Linked DNA regions of Caenorhabditis elegans. The protein of the gene in region 2 interacts with the protein of the main gene of each other region in a pairwise test. Each region holds a gene or a part of one and is shown on either strand. Other genes may lie near its edges. The genes, in order: cids-1, Y52E8A.2, ceh-36 and klf-1.

Evidence for each region.
Region 1: the proteins of Y52E8A.2 (region 2) and cids-1 interact in a two-hybrid assay, tested with the Caenorhabditis elegans proteins (one large-scale study listed by BioGRID).
Region 3: the proteins of Y52E8A.2 (region 2) and ceh-36 interact in a two-hybrid assay, tested with the Caenorhabditis elegans proteins (one large-scale study listed by BioGRID).
Region 4: the proteins of Y52E8A.2 (region 2) and klf-1 interact in a two-hybrid assay, tested with the Caenorhabditis elegans proteins (one large-scale study listed by BioGRID).

What each region holds. Positions count from the first base shown.
Region 1 is NC_003281.10:8,242,652-8,246,342, reverse strand, and holds cids-1 (CID domain-containing protein 1), read right to left. Parts: upstream 1,899-3,691; coding exon 1,761-1,898; intron 1,718-1,760; coding exon 1,584-1,717; intron 1,542-1,583; coding exon 1,358-1,541; intron 1,311-1,357; coding exon 1,066-1,310; intron 1,014-1,065; coding exon 866-1,013; intron 818-865; coding exon 719-817; 3' UTR 549-718; downstream 1-548. Other genes in the region: putative GTP-binding protein C02F5.3, read right to left, coding at 1-452; pbs-6 (Proteasome subunit beta type-1), read left to right, coding at 2,251-2,516, 2,562-2,955, 3,004-3,120; Putative zinc finger protein C02F5.12, read left to right, coding at 3,474-3,557.
Region 2 is NC_003280.10:4,318,916-4,322,152, reverse strand, and holds Y52E8A.2 (RING-type domain-containing protein), read right to left. Parts: upstream 1,318-3,237; 5' UTR 1,299-1,317; coding exon 1,210-1,298; intron 1,161-1,209; coding exon 758-1,160; intron 705-757; coding exon 618-704; 3' UTR 536-617; downstream 1-535. Other genes in the region: Y52E8A.1 (RNA helicase), read right to left, coding at 1-87; Y52E8A.6 (UNC93-like protein MFSD11), read left to right, coding at 2,184-2,341, 2,391-2,578, 2,625-2,721, 2,766-2,841, 2,890-3,013.
Region 3 is NC_003284.9:14,182,706-14,188,461, forward strand, and holds ceh-36 (Homeobox protein ceh-36), read right to left. Parts: upstream 3,862-5,756; 5' UTR 3,761-3,861; intron 2,895-3,760; 5' UTR 2,831-2,894; coding exon 2,688-2,830; intron 2,276-2,687; coding exon 2,110-2,275; intron 1,956-2,109; coding exon 1,876-1,955; intron 1,824-1,875; coding exon 1,715-1,823; intron 1,632-1,714; coding exon 1,487-1,631; intron 875-1,486; coding exon 744-874; 3' UTR 516-743; downstream 1-515. UniProt on the Caenorhabditis elegans protein: Probable transcription factor, acting as a progenitor identity factor regulating the development of lineally-related embryonic cells including glial, excretory and neuronal cells. Mediates chemosensory function of ASE and AWC neurons.
Region 4 is NC_003281.10:2,873,148-2,880,820, reverse strand, and holds klf-1 (Kruppel-like factor 1), read right to left. Parts: upstream 6,004-7,673; 5' UTR 5,929-6,003; coding exon 5,793-5,928; intron 5,232-5,792; coding exon 5,059-5,231; intron 4,146-5,058; coding exon 3,953-4,145; intron 3,160-3,952; coding exon 3,079-3,159; intron 2,494-3,078; coding exon 2,197-2,493; intron 1,527-2,196; coding exon 1,089-1,526; intron 907-1,088; exon of another isoform or gene 833-906; intron 727-832; coding exon 637-726; intron 490-636; exon of another isoform or gene 483-489; coding exon 397-482; 3' UTR 145-396; downstream 1-144. UniProt on the Caenorhabditis elegans protein: Transcription factor which modulates genes involved in lipid metabolism and the phase I detoxification pathway, including cytochrome P450 oxidases.

The DNA.
Region 1 (3,691 bases), on a different chromosome or scaffold from region 2:
TTTCCTGCATCAAGCATCATAAGAATTAAATCTGCAGTTTTTGCAACTGAGATAACCTGTCTTCCTCTTCCTTTTCCCTGAGAAGCTCCTTCAATGATTCCAGGAAGATCGAGCAATTGAATATTGGCTCCGTTGTAAGAGATGACACCAGGAATGCACGTAAGAGTTGTGAATTCATATCCAGCAGCTTCTGAGTGAGTGGAAGTCATTGAGGACAATAGAGTCGATTTTCCGACGGAAGGAAATCCAACCATTGCAACTCTCGCATCTCCACTTTTCATTACATCGAATCCTTCTCCTTTGGCACCTCCTTTGCCTGTTGGTTCTAACAATTGTTGACGATATTTTGCCAACTTTGCTTTTAGAAGACCCAAATGGTATTCAGTGGCTTTATTCTTTTGGGTTCTTGAAATTTCATGTTCGATTTCTGCAATTTTCTCCAGAATACCCATCTGTAAAATATCAGCTTTTAAACAATTAATTTCAAACTTTCAGAGATAAACACTGGTTAAGAACCGTTTTCAGATAATAGAACTAACTTGAATTTTAGAAAAAATAAATTCATTTAAGGTGGTTCAGAAGAAAAACGTATAAAGCACTTATGTGGTAATGGTGATCACGATTGTAAAAGATCAAAGTGAACAAAAATTATACAACAATGGGGGTACAGTAAAAGCTACTGAGATCGTAAAGTTATAATTATGACGTAGTATGATACTTATTTTTTCCTCTTCTCGAACAAAGCTTCAAGTGTTGGCAATGGTGCATTTGGCATCTCAGCAGCCAAATCTGGCAACGATTCGAATGTTTTTTCAACCTGAAATTCAATTCAAGTCTGCAAAAACTGATTTTCTAGTTTTCAAACCTCTAACAAATCTGCCTTGATTCGATCTTCTCTACGCTTAACTTCTCTGCACAATTTCTCGTGATGTTCAATGCTCATTCTAACATTTTCTATAAGCATATTCAAGTTCGATTCGAGAGTTTCGCGTTCATTTGTCTCGTTTTTCAGCCTGAAAGCATAAGTTAATGTACAAAATCAATTCACAAAAGTTTCAATCAAACCTTTTAACATATTCCTCCAGCATCGGAAGAGCTTCTTCATTTTGGACCAACAGAGACTGTGCTTCTTGCGAACTTCGAACTGACTGCAACTTTTCTGGGCACGAAATATTATCCGGATATTTTGAAAGTTCTGTGCGAATTTCTCTTTCCGTGCTCGGCGGGTTTTGAAGGCGCTTCAAACTGAGCAAAACATCTTGTGCATTCTTTTTCGCTTCTTCAACGACGAACTGACTAGGTTGAGCGACCTTAAGCTCATTTTGGCATTCTTTTGGAATTTATTAAATTCACACACCTTTCCATGTTCCTTGTTCGCAACTGCGGGTGTTGGGAAGCTTCCAGATAGCTTAACTTGTTGATGAACTTCATGAAGCCGTTTGCATTGTGATGGAGTGAATATCTGACGATCTTTCCATACATTGATCAGTTTACCAATTGCATGTTCCACTTCTTTTGCATTTTTCAACTCGATTGCATGCCTGAAATTAATTTTGAGATTAGACGTTTGAAAATGCCAATACCTGAAAGAACTTTCTATTGCGGGAAAAAATTCGTCCTTGAATTGTGGGCAAGTCTTTCTCGCATTTTGGCTTACATCATTCGCCACATAAAGAAGATTTACAATTTTTGAGCCGTGTGTTTCTTTCTTTACTGTCTGAAATACAACACTAAAAAATGATACAATATGAATAAAATACCTTTAGCCAAACTCGAATGATCAATTCCCGATTGCTATGATTTTGCAAAAGCCAGGCAGAAGTCGTCTGAATTGAGGAAGGGTGGTTTGATAAATTTGTTAACTTCTGTCGCAAAGTTTGCTCTGTGAAATCTGCCATCTGAAATATCAATTATTGAAAAAAAGAAATCACAAAAATTTTAATCAGAAATGTAGATAAAGCGATGAATTGTCCTCAAAAATACCTTGGAAAAATGAATTTTCATTCAAAAAAGAGAGGAAAACGCGTTTCAATAAATTTCAGCAAAGTGTCGTATAGTTCGATGTGCGATGTGCATTTGAACGCGCAGAAAACTGCGGACTAAACATTGTAAATGACGATGTCTCTCATTGTCAGCATTTCCTGTTATGTTGAATTCTCAAATTTCGAGCATTTGTTTTCTGTATTAATTGAATTTTGTCATATTGAATATTTATATTGTTTCAACTAAATAAGTATACGCCTTTTTCAGATGACAAGCTTCACTGGAATCACGGCTGTCGCCAACGCCACCAATGAAATGGCAATGTTCAAGCAGGCAATGAAGGAAGTTGCAGCTCATCCAGAGTGGATGAGTTCCAGACAAATTGAGCGTCAACGCTGGAACCCGTATTCAATGGAGGGAGGATCAACCTGTGCCATTTCTGGGGAGAACTTTGCCATCGTGGCAAGTGATACTAGAATGACCCAAAACGACATCAACATTCTTACACGTGACGCAGAGAAGATTCAAATTTTGTAAGCCAGTATTTGTCTTTGTTTTAATAATAATTCTTAATTCAGGAATGATAACATCATCCTCACCACCTCTGGATTCTATGGAGATGTCCTCCAATTGAAGAAAGTTCTCCAATCTCGTCTCCACAAGTACCGCTTCGATTATCGCTCTGACATGTCTGTGGATCTTTGCGCAGAACTTCTCTCCCGCAACCTCTATTACCGTCGGTTCTTCCCATACTACACTGGAGCTATTCTTGCCGGAATTGACGAGCACGGAAAAGGGGCCGTGTTCAGTTACGACCCAATCGGATGTATCGAGCGTCTTGGATACTCAGCCAGTGGAGCCGCTGAACCAATGATCATTCCATTCTTGGATTGTCAAATCGGGCACGTTACGCTCTCTGAAGGATATGAGCGTCCGGAACTCACATTGGACAGAGCCATCTCATTGATGAAGGTATAATTGAATTTCGTAATTTTAACCTAATTCATTTATTTTTTCTAGGATTCGTTCCGTGGTGCTGCTGAGCGTGAAATCTCTACTGGAGACAAAATTCACTTGGTCATCGCTGAAGCCGGAAAGCCAGTCGTCGTAAAGTTCCTGCCACTTCGTGAGGATTAATTATTGCAGTATCTATCTCATTTTATTTTAACTTATTCGTATCCTCTTCCCCTCTGAAATTGTTTTACCATCCCGGTAATCTGATAAATATTCCTCCACTTATATGTTGTAGTCTACAACATGACTACATTTCGGCGTCCAACGCAAACTACAAAATAGAGAGAAAAATGCAGAGAGCGAAAACACACAGGGCAAGAACGCACGAGTGAGACACAAGATATAATGCAAAAGAAGGAGTGAGTCGGCGCTGCTTAGAACCGTCTGCGTTTCGAGTCTCTTACTTTGTGGTCTGCCCAGCTGTGTCATTGATTCATTCCTGCTTTGCAACTCGACAAGTTGGTATTTACTGAAAAATGTCAACTTATATTCAAGTTAACATCTACAATCAAACTTTGGAAGTTCTCAAAATGCGAGGACTCGATTTGCAATCTATTTTGGTAGGTCAAGCTTTTGGCAACATTTAGCTTCTAATTATATAAATATTCCCGAGATTAGAAAAACTTGAGTAATAATTATTTTGGCAATAAAAATAATATGACAGGTTATTCTTTATGTAATGGTCGATCAAAAA
Region 2 (3,237 bases):
CGGCGTCGCAGTTTTAATTTGCATAGTTTCGAGCTGTTGGTTGATCCAGGAGCACACGCCGAGCTGGGAGAATTTCTTAGTTGTCATGTTGTCTTCGGAGATTTGAATGGGCTTTGGGGTGTCATCTGATGACTTGAATTCATCGCCTTCTTCTCCATCGGATTTTTCTTTATCTGAAACTTAGTTTTTCCTCGCCCTTGACAGCTTCTTCAATTTCCTCAAAATCTTCATTTTTCACGTTTCCTGAGCTAGGAGGCTCTTCCTGTTCTTCATTCATCTCCAAATCATCATCATTGTCCGGTAGAATTGCGTCTGGCATGATTTTGGCTGTAAATTCATAGAATGTTCGAGTTTTTTTTATTTTTAATTTTTTTGTAAAAATTAATTTTTCGTTTTTTCTCAATTTTTTGTCCGAAAAAAAATAAGAAAAGTTCGAATTTCTGTGTTTTTTAAGGCGATTGAATTTATGCAAGTCAAGTTCAGTCGACATCCCGAAAAATTCTGATCGACGTCGAAACCACTCCAAAAGCTATGTTATAGTTTTATTACAACTGTAATTATTAAAAAGCAAAACGAATTACACATGAAATTATTGAAAAATTAATTAAAACGAGGTATTAAAGAGATGGAAATTCCGTTGGATCCAGCATCCCTCGATTACAAGCTGGACAAACGCTCTTTTCCTTGAACCATTGGGAAGCGCACTGAAAATTTTGAAATTTATTTATGAAAAGGTTTTTGAAATGAATAATCTTACATCGAGATGAAACCGACGTCTACACGAATTGCATTTGATAGTTTTTTCAGTCGAAATAACGTCGTCCAGACAGATAAGGCATCGAGCATCTGATAGCTCGGCGCTAGAGCTTGAAATTGATGAAGAAAAGGAGACTGACGGGATGGATCCTTTTTCGCTGGAGGTTGAAGCTTTGAGCTTCTCTGCGCCATTCAGAAGAGCTTTTTCATATTCTTGCATAAACGAATCCGAGAAGGATGGAAATTCCGGAAGCTTCTTGAGCTGAATTCGAGTAGAATTGTCGTTTGACATCAGAATCTCTTCAATATTCTCATCCAACACTAGCATGAAATTCTGGAATGCTCGATTGAACTTGATCAGCTCGTATTTCGCGGCACGCATCGTAACTTCATCTGCCGATAGTCTGAAAAATACAAATTAAAATTTTAGTTGAATGCCGTAATTAAAAATACCTGGCGACAAGTTCCGCGGCTCGTCGCATTGGATTTTCCTTCAAAATCAAATTCCTCGTCGATTCTAGGCCTTCCAACGTGTTTACCATGATTTCCAATCGATAAACTCTAAAACTTAATATATTCTGGGAAAAATAATATTTTTAAAACCAGTTAACGACAAAATCACACAGAGAAAGCTGCACAATTCAGAAAAGATCCGAAAAATCGATAAATCCAGCGTGGCAAACAAAACGTGGGCCTACCGTACCGCTTCAAGGGACATGGTATAATTCTTGCACGGGTTTCGCAACGATTGAGTAGTTAATTAATTTAAATGGAGGTAAAATTAAGAATTTCGAATTTGTTGAATAATTTATATATTTTTCAATATTATTTCCAAAAAAAAAACAAATAAAATAAGGAAAATTTGAATTTAATTGACATCTTTCTGAACGAAAAAGCCAAAGCGGAAATTAAATCCTACCGTACCCATTTTTAAAGGCGCACAAAGTTTTATCGGGCCAAGATCCCGCCGCGTCTTTGAAATTTCCAGGCACAGAATTAAAAATAAAAGAGGTTTTAAGAGGAAACCACATGTTGAAAAAGGTTTATTTACAATTCCAAAAAAAACACTTTTATAGTAAAAATACAATTACTTGATGCTTGGCTGTGTTAGTTCCTCGTTTCGATACATATTGACGGTTTTTGAACAAGTTTCTCGAATTGAACGTTCCAAATTAAAGGGAATTATGCAAATTTCTGGATTATTCGGAAAAAAGTTTCACTGATGACTGAAAAAGGAGAAGAATAATATTGTTGGATAGTATAAAAAATGACAAAAAGTAGAGTGCCTAGTTTTTGTCTTTGTCATAAACCTTTGATATTTTTTCCAAGTCATAAATTATTTTTTTTCAAGTTTCTTTTTTTTGAAACTTTGTTTCAAATTTGTAGTTTTTACAGGAATAAAAATCTAGAGGCTTCCGATTTCGGATATGGCTATTGACCAAGGGACGAAAAATGTGCTCCGACTATCGATTTCATTTTTGCTCCTATTTTTTGCTTATATGAGTCAAGAATACATACAAGAACCACTTATCGAGGAAAAGCATAAAACCGGTGGGAATATTGATCCTCACGCCGGTTATCATAGGTTTGTCTCTTCTATATGGTCACTTTTTCAAAAGCAAAACTGATTTTAGTTTTGCTATAACTTACTTCTTTTTCACACTTTCTTGCCTATTTGTTGCTCCAATAATTGATAAGATTTCCGCGAAATGGGGAATGGTTCTGAGATTTTCGGCATATATTGCATTTCAATATGGATTTATACATATGAATACTTATTATGTGTACATTACTTCAGCGAGTTTGGGTGTCGGTGGTGCTTGTAAGTATGAATCAGGAGGGCTTCGCAAATGTTCTGAAACTTTCAGTCATATGGGTTGGCCAGGGAAAATATCTGACGGAAAACTGCACAAGTGAAACTATTGAACGAAATATTGCTCTGACTTGGTTCATTTTTAAGTTCTGGTGAGTACTTCCATCAATTCTCTGTACCATTTTGATTTTTCAAGCCTCCTCGGTGGTGGAATATTTCTCTACGTTCTGTTCTACAATCAAAAAATGAACGAATTTCTGGAATCTGGAGATGTATTGTATTTCCAACATCCATCTGTTTCTAATTCTGCCAATTTTCAGTACAAAACATTCGTCTATATCTGTTGTTCCATTTCTCTATTGGCGGCGATTAACACGGCATTTCTGCCACAATCAGTGTATGTTCCGGAGAGAAAGAAGCATGAGACGTTCGCGAAGACATTGAGTGAGTTTATGGTAGGTCGCCTTTATGCCTGCCTGCCTACCACCTAATCTAAATTGAGTGTGAGCACAATGTCACTGACTGAAGATTATTTCATTTTGACTGTTAATGAAAGTTCAGCTGCTCGGCAGTAGGCACATATACAGCCCATCATCGGGCAGGCGTAGGTTGTCAGGGAAGTAGGCAGATTTTTTTTGCTTTTTGCCTGCCTATCTATCTACCTAACA
Region 3 (5,756 bases), on a different chromosome or scaffold from region 2:
AATGAGATTATCAATAATAAAAGGTTACAGTAATCCGGTCGTATGACTGATAATGAAAGCATCCTTTATATTTTCAATTGGATTAGTGAGCGCATTAATTGAAATTGCTTTTATTTTTCACGAAAAAAAAATTCGGAAAATTTGAAAGTTTTCAATATCTTTTGACACTATTATATTGCTAATGGAATAAGTTTTTACCAGAAACTAAAAATTTTAAAGTCTACTATTTGCAAGGAATTTAGGCGTATGTAACCATTAGTTCTGAAACGCACTTTCCGACAAGTGAGATGACGTGGCATTCGCTGAGGAGTCACTTCAAGCACACAATACGGGCGGAAGGTGTTAGAGAAAGGTGTTCCACGTAATGAAGTGGGTGTCTCTCAAGGGGATTACGCCACCTTTTGCCCTAAAATCCTTTCCGCTTGCCGACTACCAAAATGAGCAAATATCGTTTCCTGAGGGCACTTTAGATGCTGTGTTGGGAGTTTACTTGTAAAATATTGTAAAATTTGAAACAATTCTATCCAAAATTCATTACTCATACAAAACTTTAAACTGACAAAGTATTTCAGTGGTACAACAGAAAAAAAAACAAAATATCATATGCATTGTAAGATTTTTCTGAGATCAAGTGATACTTGGAGAAATTCAAGAAAATTATGACAAGAAGATGAGAGAAGTTATAGTGTGGTACCCAAGTTGATAGGAATTTGAATTAAAAATCAAAAGGGAATATTCAAAACTTAAAGTGGAGAGTAGGCAGTAATATTTGGGGTGTAATCGTTGCTTCCATATTGTTGGTAGTAAAAGTTTGATGGGAAGTAGCTGTTGTAGTTGTACGGGTAAGGAGCAGTAGTTGCGTAGGATGCATATGCTGAAAATTATTTGTGAAGTCTAGTTAAATGTTTTTTTTTTGAAATAAAATGGTTTTTTGGAAAGTGACATTTAAGAAGTTGTGTATTTATTGTCTGTAATTCGAACTAATATTCTCCTACATTAACTTCCATCTCATTTATATGTCAATTGACCTTTTCCAGTGAAAACATTTTTCTCACCTACAATTGAGCCAATACTATGAGCCAATTTCCACAGTAATAAAAACATTGATAGACTAATAAAACTAAGAAATCGTTGTTAAAACAGAACATATTTTGCTGAAATTGATGGCATCTGGAGTTTTAGGAATAAACTACAGTGCTAGAAAATTTTTTTAGAGAGCAGTCATGTTGACTTGGAACTGAGTTGGATTAGTTGAAACTACGGAACAGAATATATGTTCAGCTTTAAAATTTTTTTTAGTTAAAGCAAATTTAAATAATGCCTCATGGATACAAAAATTAAAATAGTATTGATTGTTGATAAAAATGACTTTCTCCTAATAACAAATGTAAGCACATTTTCTATTTCTCTTACTGTTAGTTTCTACTATTAAATGTAGCGTCTTATTTCCAGACATTTGTCTCACAATAGACTGAACCCTACTAACCTGCAGCTTGAGCCTGAGGAAGAAGTGATTGAGTGGAATCGTATTTGGTATCTGCAAGTGGTTTCGAGTCCTCCAGTTCACTTTTTGGCTGTTGCAATTGCTGCTGTTGCTGCTGTTGCAGTTGACTCAAGACTGCTGAGTTTGCCTGTAAAAGTGTGAAATCATGCAACTTCCTCCCATAACATCCCGTAACCCCCAACACAGCATACATTATTTGGAAATTCTCACCTCATATTTGGCAGCACTGTGTGCATTGAATTCCGGTGTGCCTGGTATGTGAATTCCTAGTGATTTAGTATCAGGCTTTGATTCGTTGTGTGGAGAACCATTGGATGATCTGAACATTATCGAATAATTGGAGAAATCGGAAAGGTTGATGTGTGTCTTACCTTGATGAAGTGCTTCCCGGATGGACTCCATCCATTTTTTTGTTGTTTCTATCCTTGGCTCGTCGATTTTTGAACCAAACCTGAAATTGAATGGGAATCTAGTAGAAAAATATTGGGTTGGTAGCACGTATCATTATACAAAATTTGAAATCTGTTGTCATTTATGTATAACAATTATGTTTCCAAATAGTTATAGAACACATTTTACGTTTTCAGCGTCTATATCCAACTTACCGTAATTACTTGTACCCTTCCATCAGGCAAATTGATTGCCTTCGCCAATGCTTCTCTTCTGTGCACATCCGGATACTGTGTTTCGCGGAAAACTTTTTCCAGCTGATCGAGTTGTCCTCTGTTGAACGAGGTACGTTCACGCCGACCTGCTCGACGACCGCTTTCACTTAAAAAAATCGTTAAAGATTTTAATTTCACAATTCTTATTCTAATTCTATTTTTAATTTGAAATGTGTCTTAAAATTCTGTGAACTGTTCAAATCAGAAATAAAACTCTTGAAAATTAGTTGCATTTAAAAAAGGGAGCACAAATTCAAATCAATAGTTAACTAAAATATCATGTTGTATCGATATTGGGAGAAATCGTTTAAAAAATGACCAGAATTGGAGTAAGAAGCTGGCAGAGGAGCCAGCTTTTAGCAATGTCGACTGATTTGGAATGCCAGTCGGTATTTAGGCATGTATTAGTCTCTGATAACCTTTCCAAGACTTAGCGTAATCTCAAAATCCACCCTAATCTTGATCTGCCACGATTTTGTTGTTTACAATTTTATTTTTTGATCCCCCTGATTAACTACCTGTTTGGAGCCATTGGCGCCATTGTCGTTGAGCTTGTGGTTGCCGATGTAAGACTGGGTGCCGTGGTTGCGGCAGCAAATGCAAATTGTGGATAAGCAGTGTAGCCGAGCGTCGGAAAGGCGGTGTAGAAGTTGGTGGTCATTGTGCATGCGGGGGCAGGCGAAGTGCTCGACGGATCCGCAAATGGGCGGAGGGTGGCGGTGAGTCTGGAAGAAGATGACACCGATGAGAAGAAGCCTTGCTTGTCAGGGGGTAACGATTGAATAACTAGTGAAAAGCTATTGAATTGAAAGGGAAGATGCTAATGGATTTTGTCAGCTTTTCATTCTTCAAAGCTCATGTGAGCCGAGACAAAAGAAAGTTATAGGTAATCCCACAGATTTTATTAATCTCTTTTTTCTTCTACCGAGAATTGAGCAACTGATTCCTCTTCTCGGTTACGAGTTCCTAGAAAAGGGCAAGCATTATCATTAAGTTATCATTGGGTTCAGTGTTGTGCTTTCCTATTAAACTTTTTTCTGATGACGTGTAGGCTGATGAAAATCAGAAAAAGTGAATGAAGCCTTGCAAAGAGGGTTACGGTAGAAGAGAAATATATATATTTCGAGAGATAATTAGCAAGTGGGGTGGTTCTAAGGCTTCTTCCAGGGGACACGTATAGCCAATGCACAGGAGAAGATTATTAGAAAGTGGATGAAGGGATTGTGGTTGAAAGAACAATGAGTACAAGTTTGAAAAATAATTGTTTGGAACATACAGAAGGGAATGTGTATAGTCACTTCTCTAGAAGGTGAGCTTCTATTAAATGGTATTAAATGCTTTCAATTTTTAAGTGTTTGTTCTTTTAAGGTTAAATTGGAGATTGTAAAAATTGCACAAATGTGAAAACCACGTATGACTCATGTTATGCTCTTTTAAAAATACATAGTGTCGACGGAGAATTTTTCAATAACCAGAATTTATAAATTACTATCAATAAGCAACAATGAGAAACGTTTTTCCAAATGCATGGTAAAATTTTTTGAATTTAATAATACGAGTATACAAATACGGTTTCAAGAAAAAAACTCACTCAGAAACGTGTTTATAAAATTAATAACAACAAAATAATGCCTGAAATTACACACCTCGATACAAATTGTAACCTATCTACGAACACAACAACAACGTGTTGCACAGTTCCTCAAACCATCTGGTGGTCCACATCTCCTACTGTGGGTGGAGTCTTCCACCAAAGGAACCCCACTAGTGAGAAAGTGAGTGAGAACACGCACTAGAACATGAGCAAGAAAAAGGAGGCCGCGTTTGTGGGAACGTTTCAAGACAAATACAGTGTGGGTGACTGTTTGTTTTAAAGACACGGATACGTTAGAATGAATTTGAAAGAACATTCAAGAAATGTTCTCGCTTTTGTTTTTAACGTGCTACCCATTTTACTCAAATTTGATAAAAATGTGAAACAAAGTTCTTAATAATCATTATTTGCCAACCGCATTTAACATAACCGTTAAAGCTACCGTATTAACTATATTAGTATAGCACCACTACAAGCCCATCAAAAAGTATACATGCAGGTTTTATAAGTTTAATTGACCTGCAGCTATTTATTATTAGACCAGTTCACTTTCGAAATTTAGGCAAATTCTTCATTTTGTGAAGTTTAAAAACGTCCTAAGCACCAATAGAAGAAGAATATATTTATAAAATAATGGTGAAAAATCAAATTGTTACTTCAAAAAAACACACTAGATAATTAGACTTGCATCCCTTCAAGTCAAATAGAAGATATCATTAAATTTCATGACATAGAAAAAATAAGGTAATTTAACGTATCTGCTACAATTTTTCAATTACGGTAAAAAACTTGTATGTTTATTTTTACATTTTAAAATTTCAAAGTAACAAAAAAAGGAATCCAATTCTTTGAATAAAACGGATATTGCTCAGCTTGCAAACATAGCAACAAGAACTTAGCATTATACTATAATCTGAAGGAGCTCAGGCTCAGCCTTATCGGATAAGCTTATCCTTGATCCGTAAGTGTAATCTGACAATGTTAATCACAATGGCGCCAATATATGGGTTCAAAAATTAGTTTGATTTTTGCTCACTCATACTTATGTTGTATAAAATATAATTTTTTAATTAACAAAAAAAACTAATGGCTAACTGGTGATAGTTAGAAAAAGCTCAATTTTTTGAGAATGGGAAACAGTGCAAATAATCAGGTAACATTAGAAACAATTACGAGTTAAGTATAGGTTTAAAGAAACGGTGAAAAGAAACGTTGGGGAAAAATTAATTTTCTAGGAAGTCAGTAGTTTATTTTGGAAAAAAACGTTCAAAAAAGTTTTAAAAAGTCAATTCACCGGAAGATTAACTTATTCTAAAATACAACACTTCAGCTATTACCGAATTTCATTAATTTGCCCGTTGATGTTCTCAATCACATCCATAAATTCTAAATATCATTTCCCACCTTACATTCCCCAAAGGTGAGAACACCAACCTGCCTAGGATATTCGTGTCAAGAATATTGATCGACAGTCCATTGTTTCATCTCACTTCCCTCACATGAATATCCATGTCGGCATAACTATAAATAACTTGTCCTGCTGAACAATAAAAACTGACATGTTGCTAGTAAACTGTCTGCGAATACCATAATCCTAGGTCTTTGTCTTGAAGCAGATGGTTTTTTTTGAGTTGTTATGTGAATGATGAGCACAAGATGCTCTCCGAAGTGGAGCAAAGGAATGCCCTTTGCGGTGGAGGAAACTGAAGTGGATTGTGTAACACATTACGGTGATTCCAAAAAGGTACTTAGAAAATGAGGTTTTTGATGAATTCATGAAATAGATTAATAAATAGTTGTAGACAATTCAATATTTCATTGGTACAGAAAACTAATTAATTTTAGTCGAAAAATTGTGTTGCTGACGTTTTTGTTAATTGGTCAGGTACGGCCAATCTTGGTCGAATTTGGGTAAAATCGGAAACCTACTAATTTATTTTGTACAGGGTGCGCCATAAGTATGGTAACACGTTCGCGGCTCTATAGCTTCCCG
Region 4 (7,673 bases), on a different chromosome or scaffold from region 2:
TTTTGAATAATTTTGAAAGGCTCAAAACCTTTCCAATTTGGTTTTTTTTCAAATTACTAATCTCTGAAAAATCAAAAAAAAAAACACAGAAAAAAAAATCGATATGTATTTATTGATTTCCACGTGGGGGGGGGGGGGGAAAGTGAAATGTGACAAAAATTAATATGACCGTATTTAGTGATGATACCAAGCATTTTTTGAGCAAGAAAACATTCAAAAAACTGTAAAAATGACGTCACGATGTTGAGACGTGACTGGCGGGAAGTTTGAAAATTTTTGAAAAAAAAAACTTTTTTCAAAAATTTTCCAAAAAAAATGTAATGACCGGATAAAAAGTTGAGAAATACATTTTGGGAACCCGTAATTAGTTAATCTGTTGCACCATGTTTTTTTTGATTAGAAGTGGCGTTTCATATGGAGTGAGAGATGATCACTTCGGGAGAAGGCACGTGAACATTGAGAGCACTTGAATGGGCGGTCTCCTGAAAAAAACAATTATTTTTGTTTTTCTTAGCATTGCAGTGCATAATTTAAATAGAGCTCGACGAGAGCTTTCATTTAAGTATAATCATGACTAGGTTTGGGAAAATTTGAAAATTTTTAGGTGTATGCGCCTTTAATTCACTCAAAAATTACCTGTATGTTTCCTATAGTGCCTTGTTAGCTCGTCAGATCTAGCAAATCGCCAATCACACCCGTCCCAACTGCATTCGTATGGTTTTTCACCTGAAAAATGATTTTTTTCATCAAAAAATTTCTAAAAACAACTTTAAAGAGAAGTTATCAAGATTTAAAACTGAAATTTTCAAACTTTTCATCCAGAAAAACCTATATCCTTCGACAAAGAATCGAACCTGTGACCTTCTGGGTCATAGTCTGACATCTTACCGACTGCGCCACGCGCGCACTGCGTGCCGCGCCAGTTGCTGGGCGCGACGGCGCTGGTGGCGCAATAGGTAAGAGAGATGACTGAGACCCAGAAGGTCCCAAGTTCGATTCTTTCTGCATGTTTTTGGTTTTTTCTGGGTGTAATGATTGCTTTTTCAATCTAGAAAATATTTTGTTCAGTACAATTAACAAAGTATTACCTGTATGAGTTCTAAAATGAGCCTTCAAATGTGAGCTTTTCGTGTAGACTTTCCCGCAATTCGGATGTGTGCAATGGTGAAGCCTCTTGACAGATGGTTCAGAAGCATCATATGATGAGCTCGGGCTCGGCTCGCAATTTGAATCCTCGAGGGAAGAGTCCACGTGGAGTCTTTGCGAGGCTTCTGCCATGTGGGTTTGATGCTCTTCCATTTGTTTTTTGATAGCATCCAACTGAGTTTTGATGGCCATCGGATCGACTTGACCATTTGCGTCTGGCATTACAGCTAGACACGCTGAAGCCGTCAGTTCGTCTATTTTTCGCTTAAACTCCAAGGGGTCAAAGTTTTGGTAGACGAAGGAGTTCACAGAGCTGGATACTGAGCTGGGAAGGTCTGATGTTGATGACACACTTTCTACGTTCACTGTGAGAGGTTCGTCTAAAAATTAAAAAACATTTGAAGTTTTGATTTTTCAAAAAAATATTTTGAAAAAAAATATTTTGGAGAAAATTTTTTTCAGCACAAAATTGGTATTATAATTATCTTGTTTTCAAGTTTTGGATATTTTATTGTAGTCAGCTTGTTAAGACCTTTCAAGTGACCCCCATCATGCTAGGTTCTCCCCATGTTGGGTCCCACCACGAAAATTCCCCAGGAGTACTGTAGTTTTCGTGGTGGGACCCAAAATGGGCAGAGCCTAGACATCATGGGGGTCATTCGAAAGCTCTTGATGTGATGAACGCGAAAAAAGGTTATTTTTCGAAAAATTATTTTTGAACTAAAAAAATATTTTTTACCTTAATTTTGTTTTTATCGCTCTCAACTCATCAAGAGCTTCAAAATAACACCCATCATGCCTAGGTTCGGCATATTTTTAAATTTTTAACCCTATGCGCCTTTAAATTCTGGTTCTCGCGGTGAGACCCAAAGTGGGCGGGGCCAAGGCAAGATCGGTGTCATTTGAAGGATCTTGACGAGCCGAGAATAGTTAAATTGTGAAGTTTGACGACTTTTTTTAATTTTGAAGAAAAAATTTTGAAAAAAAATTTTGTGGAAAATTTTTTTTCCAGAATTAAAAAAAAAATTTTCCGCAATTTCAAAACCTTACCTCTTAAATCAAAATTCATTGCGGATCTTTTGACACACGGACTTGTCGGACTATCCATGTCAGCATCCTCCACAACAATACTCTCATGATCCTGATGGCCTGAATCTCCGGAGCTCGAGGAAGCGATATCGAAATTTGAAGTCGAATGAATCAGCCGAATTGGGACATTTCTAGCCATATTCAGGTTAAGATTTCGAGATTGTGGAAGCGGGTCTCGATTCAGAATGTCGGAAATCAAATGGCCCCCGGGGCGCCGGGTATCCAGATTTTCTCGAAGCAGGACTGGAGCGAACGCACCTGAAAATGATTTTTACTTTGAAAATTTGAATCAAGCTAGCCAAGAGCTTTCATTTAAGTATAATCATGACTAGGTTCTGACGATTTTGAACTTTTCAATAAATTTCCGGGTCCCACCACAAAAACTACAGTATCTCTCATTTCTTGTCATACAATACACTTTAAACTAAAAATATGAATTCAGCACACTGAGAGCTTCAAAATAACACCCATCTTGGCTAGGTTAGGTTAAGTTTGAAATTTTCAAACCCTATGCGCCTTTAAATTTAGATTTTCGTGCCGGGACCCAACAAGTTGAAAATTGAAGATCAATATAAAGTTTTAGGCATCGTGAATGCTAATAAAATTTTAAATGAACAGATGAAATATTTGTCAGTGACCTCTAAGCCTGCACTTCCGGGTCCCGCCACGAAAATCAAAATTTAAAGGCACATAGGTGCTTTAAAATTTAAACTCACTGGAACCTAGTCATGATGGGTGTTATTCAAAAGCTCTTTGCACGACAAATTCAATTTTTTCTATAATTTTCAAAAAAAAATTAGTTAGAAAGTTTAAAAAATTGAAAATTGAAAAAAAATCACAAACTTTTCTTGACTTGCATGCCCTGAAAAGCTGCTCCGAGAGCTGTCGTCGGTGTGTTGAATCCGGAAAATGACGACATTGACTCTGAAAAATATATGACAATTTTTACAAATTCGGAGGGTGTTTTGCAGGGGTGTCCCTGATAAGAAATTTTCTTTAGGCGTTTTCTTTTTTTTAGGTGATAAATTTAGTTGAGTTTTTAATTTTTGCAGAAGAATATGATTTCTTCTGCACATTTTGAAATGGGAATGGTTCCGATATCTTGAAAACTGGCAGAGTTATCGATTTTCGAAAAATTTCGAAAAATTTAAAATCGAAAACCTTTAAATTTTAACGCAGAGATTGAACTTAAAACTTCAAAACAATTAAATTCGAACTCAGCACGTTGAGAGCTTTCAAATGACACCCATCATGCCTAGGCTGCGTCAATTTTAGGTCCAACCACGAAAACTACAGTACTCCCGGGGAATTTTCGTGGTGGGACCCAAAATTTTCCAAACCTAGTCATGATTATATATATTTTTCTGAAAGCACGTAAAATTTACAATTCGAATAGTTTGAAAACTTGTGAGAAATACTGATAGTTTTCGTGGTGGCACCCAAAATTGTGGGCAAATTTTCGACAATTTTCGAAAATCGATAACTCAGCGAAAAATTGAGATTTACATAAGATTTTTTGTTTGACAAACACAACAGAAATTGTTCTTTCAGACAAAAATACTTTTCGCAGCCTGGAAACTGTACCTACAGTACCCCAGATCTTTTTCGTGGCAAGACCCAAGAAATTTTCAAAATTTTCAAACCTTGGCATGATTATACTTAAATTAAAGCTCTCAAAACGCTGAATTCAGATTTTTCAATCAAAAATAAAACCCACTCTGATGCTCTGCAATAAAATCACTTTTGATCTGTTCCAGACGGTCATTAAATGAAGTTGTCGGTTGGAAAAGGCTCTGAGTTGAGTCAAAATGTGAATTTTTATATGGTGCAAATGCAGAAAAGTCCGATTGTCTTTCGAAAACCGATGAAGAACTTGAACTTGTTGCTGCTCCGCTATCATTTCCAAATGTCTGCAAAAAAAACACATTTTTAAAGGATTTTTCAATTTTTCCATATTTAAATCTGATTTTTATGCTTAGGCTTGAGCTCAGGCTTAGGCTTAGGCTTTGGAGTCAACTTCGGCTTAGGCTTAGGCTTCGGCTTAGGCTTAGGCTTCGGTTTAGACTTAGGCTGAGACTTAAGCTCCTGCTTAAGCTTACACTTAGGCTTTGGCTTATGCATACGCTTTAGCCTAGGATTAGGCTTAACCTCAGCCTTAGGCTTAGGCTTAGGCTTAGGCTTATGTTTATCTATTTCTTGGTCTTTTTTCGAAATTTTGCGGTTAATAAAAGTTTTTTTTGTGAAATCTGTTCCATTCTAATATCGATTAATTAGTCTTTCGTAGGAAGATGAACAATCCGGTCTAGATTTTCTCTATTTTCTCAGCGCTCTCTCAATCTTATCAATCACTCTCTCTCTCTCTCTCACTTTATGTATGTGTTTCGGTAGATAGAAAGAGAGGCGCCAACGCCCAATGTTCTCCCTACTCTCTTTCTCTGCGTACTCTCTCACTCTCTCACTCTCATTTTTCTTTTTCTTGCGAAACAAGACGGTCGCCGCCGCCGACATCAAGAAAAGACGGTAACCACACCCAAAAAGGCGGGAAAATTGAGAGTGACAAAGAGACTGAGAGATAAGAGGGTTAAAGGACATGTGACTACTGTAGCTTTGAAATTTTGGTGGTTTTTCGTTGTGGGACCTTGAAAATATGAAAATCAAATTCAGCTGGGTGAGAGCTTTCATTTAAGTATAATCATGACTAGGTTTTGAGAGGGAGTCTTAAAAAAATTTAATTTCCGGGTCCCGCCACGAAAATCAAAGTTTAAAGGTGCATAGGCCTAACATAATATAACCAAGATAGCTGTATCTCAAAAAAAAACGAACATTTTCTAGCTTCCTCCTCAACGCGTTGGCCTTCAGCCTTTCGTAGGCACTTGTGCTCTCGGAAAGTTCCCGAATTGATTCGTAAAATTGATGTCCGAATTGATTAAAGCTTCTTGTTGCTTCATGTATCCGCTGTTCAGCATCGTCGTTTTCAGATGAAATTGAGGAGAGGCCTGAAAATTTGAAGATTTTTGGTTATATTTTTGCAAAAAAATTCAACGTTTTCTGCACATTTTGAAATTGGAATAGTTCAAATATCTTAAAAACTCGCAGAGTTATCGATTTTCGAAAAATTTCGAAAAATTTCAAAAAATCAAAACTTTTAAGGCACAGCTTGAACTTGAAACTTCAAAACTGTTAAATTTGAACTTAGCACACTGAGAACTTTCAAATGACACCCATCATGCCTAGGCTCCGTCAATTTTAGGTCCCACCACGAAAACTACAGTACTCCCGGGGAAATTTCGAAATTTTCGAAACATAGCCATGATTATACTTTTCTGAAAGCTCGTGAAATTTTAAATCTGATTATTTTTAAATTTCGGGCTAGAAAGTCATAGTTTTCGTGGTGGGACACATTTTTATTGAAAATTTTTTGTAATTTTTCGAAATTCGATAACTCAGCGAAAAATTAAGATTTTCACTTAATTTTTTCTATGGCAAACACAACAAAATTTATTCTATCAGGAAAACATATTTTCAGTGATGGTATTAAATAAAAAAACATCTCTCACCTGGTTGAAAAAAAGACGGTGACAAATGTACTGATCTATCCGCCCGCGCCAATGGATCAATTGATAATGATGGTTTATTAGGAATGTGTATTAATGGTTCCCGTGATGACGTGGCATTTATCGATGATGACGTCATCGTGGATGACGTGGAATTGAATTGTAGTGTACTTGATGAGGAGCTGAGTGACCCGGAGCCTTCCGGCCCAAACATCTGCAAAAATCGATATTTTTATAGATTTTTTAGAGGGGAAATGGGTAAATTGTGAAAAAGTACATAAGAAAATCTAAATTTGAGAAAATTTTGAAATAATTATTTTTTGAAAAAATTTGAAAAAAAAAATTTTGAAAAAAATTTCAATTTTTTGCTTTTCGATCTTTTGCTCATTTTTGAAGATTTCGATTTTAAGTTTGGTTTTCAATCTATGAAAAAAATTTTTTAAAGTGATTTTTCCCTAAAAACCCCAACAAAAATTTCCAAAAAAGGCGTAGTCTTTTACATTTTCGAGGGTAATGCATCGCCTCCTCAACACACAGCCGAAACAAAAAAAAAAGATAAAAACCGAAACAAAAAACTTGATAAAGGAATAAGAAAATGAAGAAATAGACAGAAACGCAGAGATACACAGAATCGGCCGAAAAAAAAATGGTAGGGAAAATGAATTGTCAGCTGAGAACGGGAACAGGAGAACGTGTCATGTGACATTTATGATTTTTGATTAGAAAATCAGAGGAATTTCTTGAAAAATCTCTAAAAATCAATAAAAATCTATCATTTTTCGTTTTTGCAAAATTGGAAAAAAACAATTTCGAGTTTTTGGCCTAGTGGCTAACAGAGTTGGCTGGGACTCACAAGGCCGGGGCTCGAATCCCCGATGGGGTCAAAATTTTTGTCGAGTTTTGTTTGCATTGTTTATGCTTTGAAAATTGACATGGTAGACGCTTTGACTTTGAAAATGAAAATTCACAAAAAAAAATCGAGATTTTAGTTCATTTCCCGAAAAATATCGATTTTCAGAAATATTTACATAAAAATTCGGGTTTTCCACGAAATTTCCGTCAATTTGAGACCCATATCGATTTTTTCAAAAAAATTAAATTTTTGGCCTTGTGGTTAACACGGATGGGTGGGACTCACAACACCGGGGTTCGAACCCCCGCTGGGGTCAAAACTTTTTTCCAATTTTTTTTTGGTATGTCAGAGATTTTTATTAACAACATTTAGTTCAAACCGTAGCGGACTGAAATTTGGTTTTTTTTTAATTTTTTACTTTGAAATTTTCAAAATTAAAAAAAAACAATTTTCAGCAAAAACGAATCGATTTTACAGAGTGAGAATAGAAAGTGAAAATAGTTGAAAAAACTAGAAGTATTAATGAGACAGAACTAACTACACGTCGATTGTAAATGTGATGTGACAGTTAGTTTGAGACGCACAGAAGAAACAAGAAAAAGATGAAAAAAGAAGAGAGAGAAATGAAAAAGGAACTGAACTATATAAGAACAATCTTCCAAATTAATCGATAGTTACACTAAATTTCGGCGGGATTTGTTAAAATAAAATTTGTGAAAATAAAAACTAGTGATTTTCCGGAATTTTCATATAAAAATTCGAGTTCCCAATAAAATTTCCGTTAATTTGACAACCATATCAGCTATTTTTGAATCATTTTGAAAAACATTTGAAACATTGAATTTTTGGCTTAGTGGATAACACTGGTGATTGGTAATCTCAACACCGGGGTTCGACCCCCACTGTGGTCGACGTTTTTTTTTTCGGTTTTTTACACATTGTTTACAGACTAAAAATGTGTCGAAACTTGAAAATTTAAAAAATAATAGTTGAACTTTTGGCCTGGTGGATAACAGAGATGACTACCACCC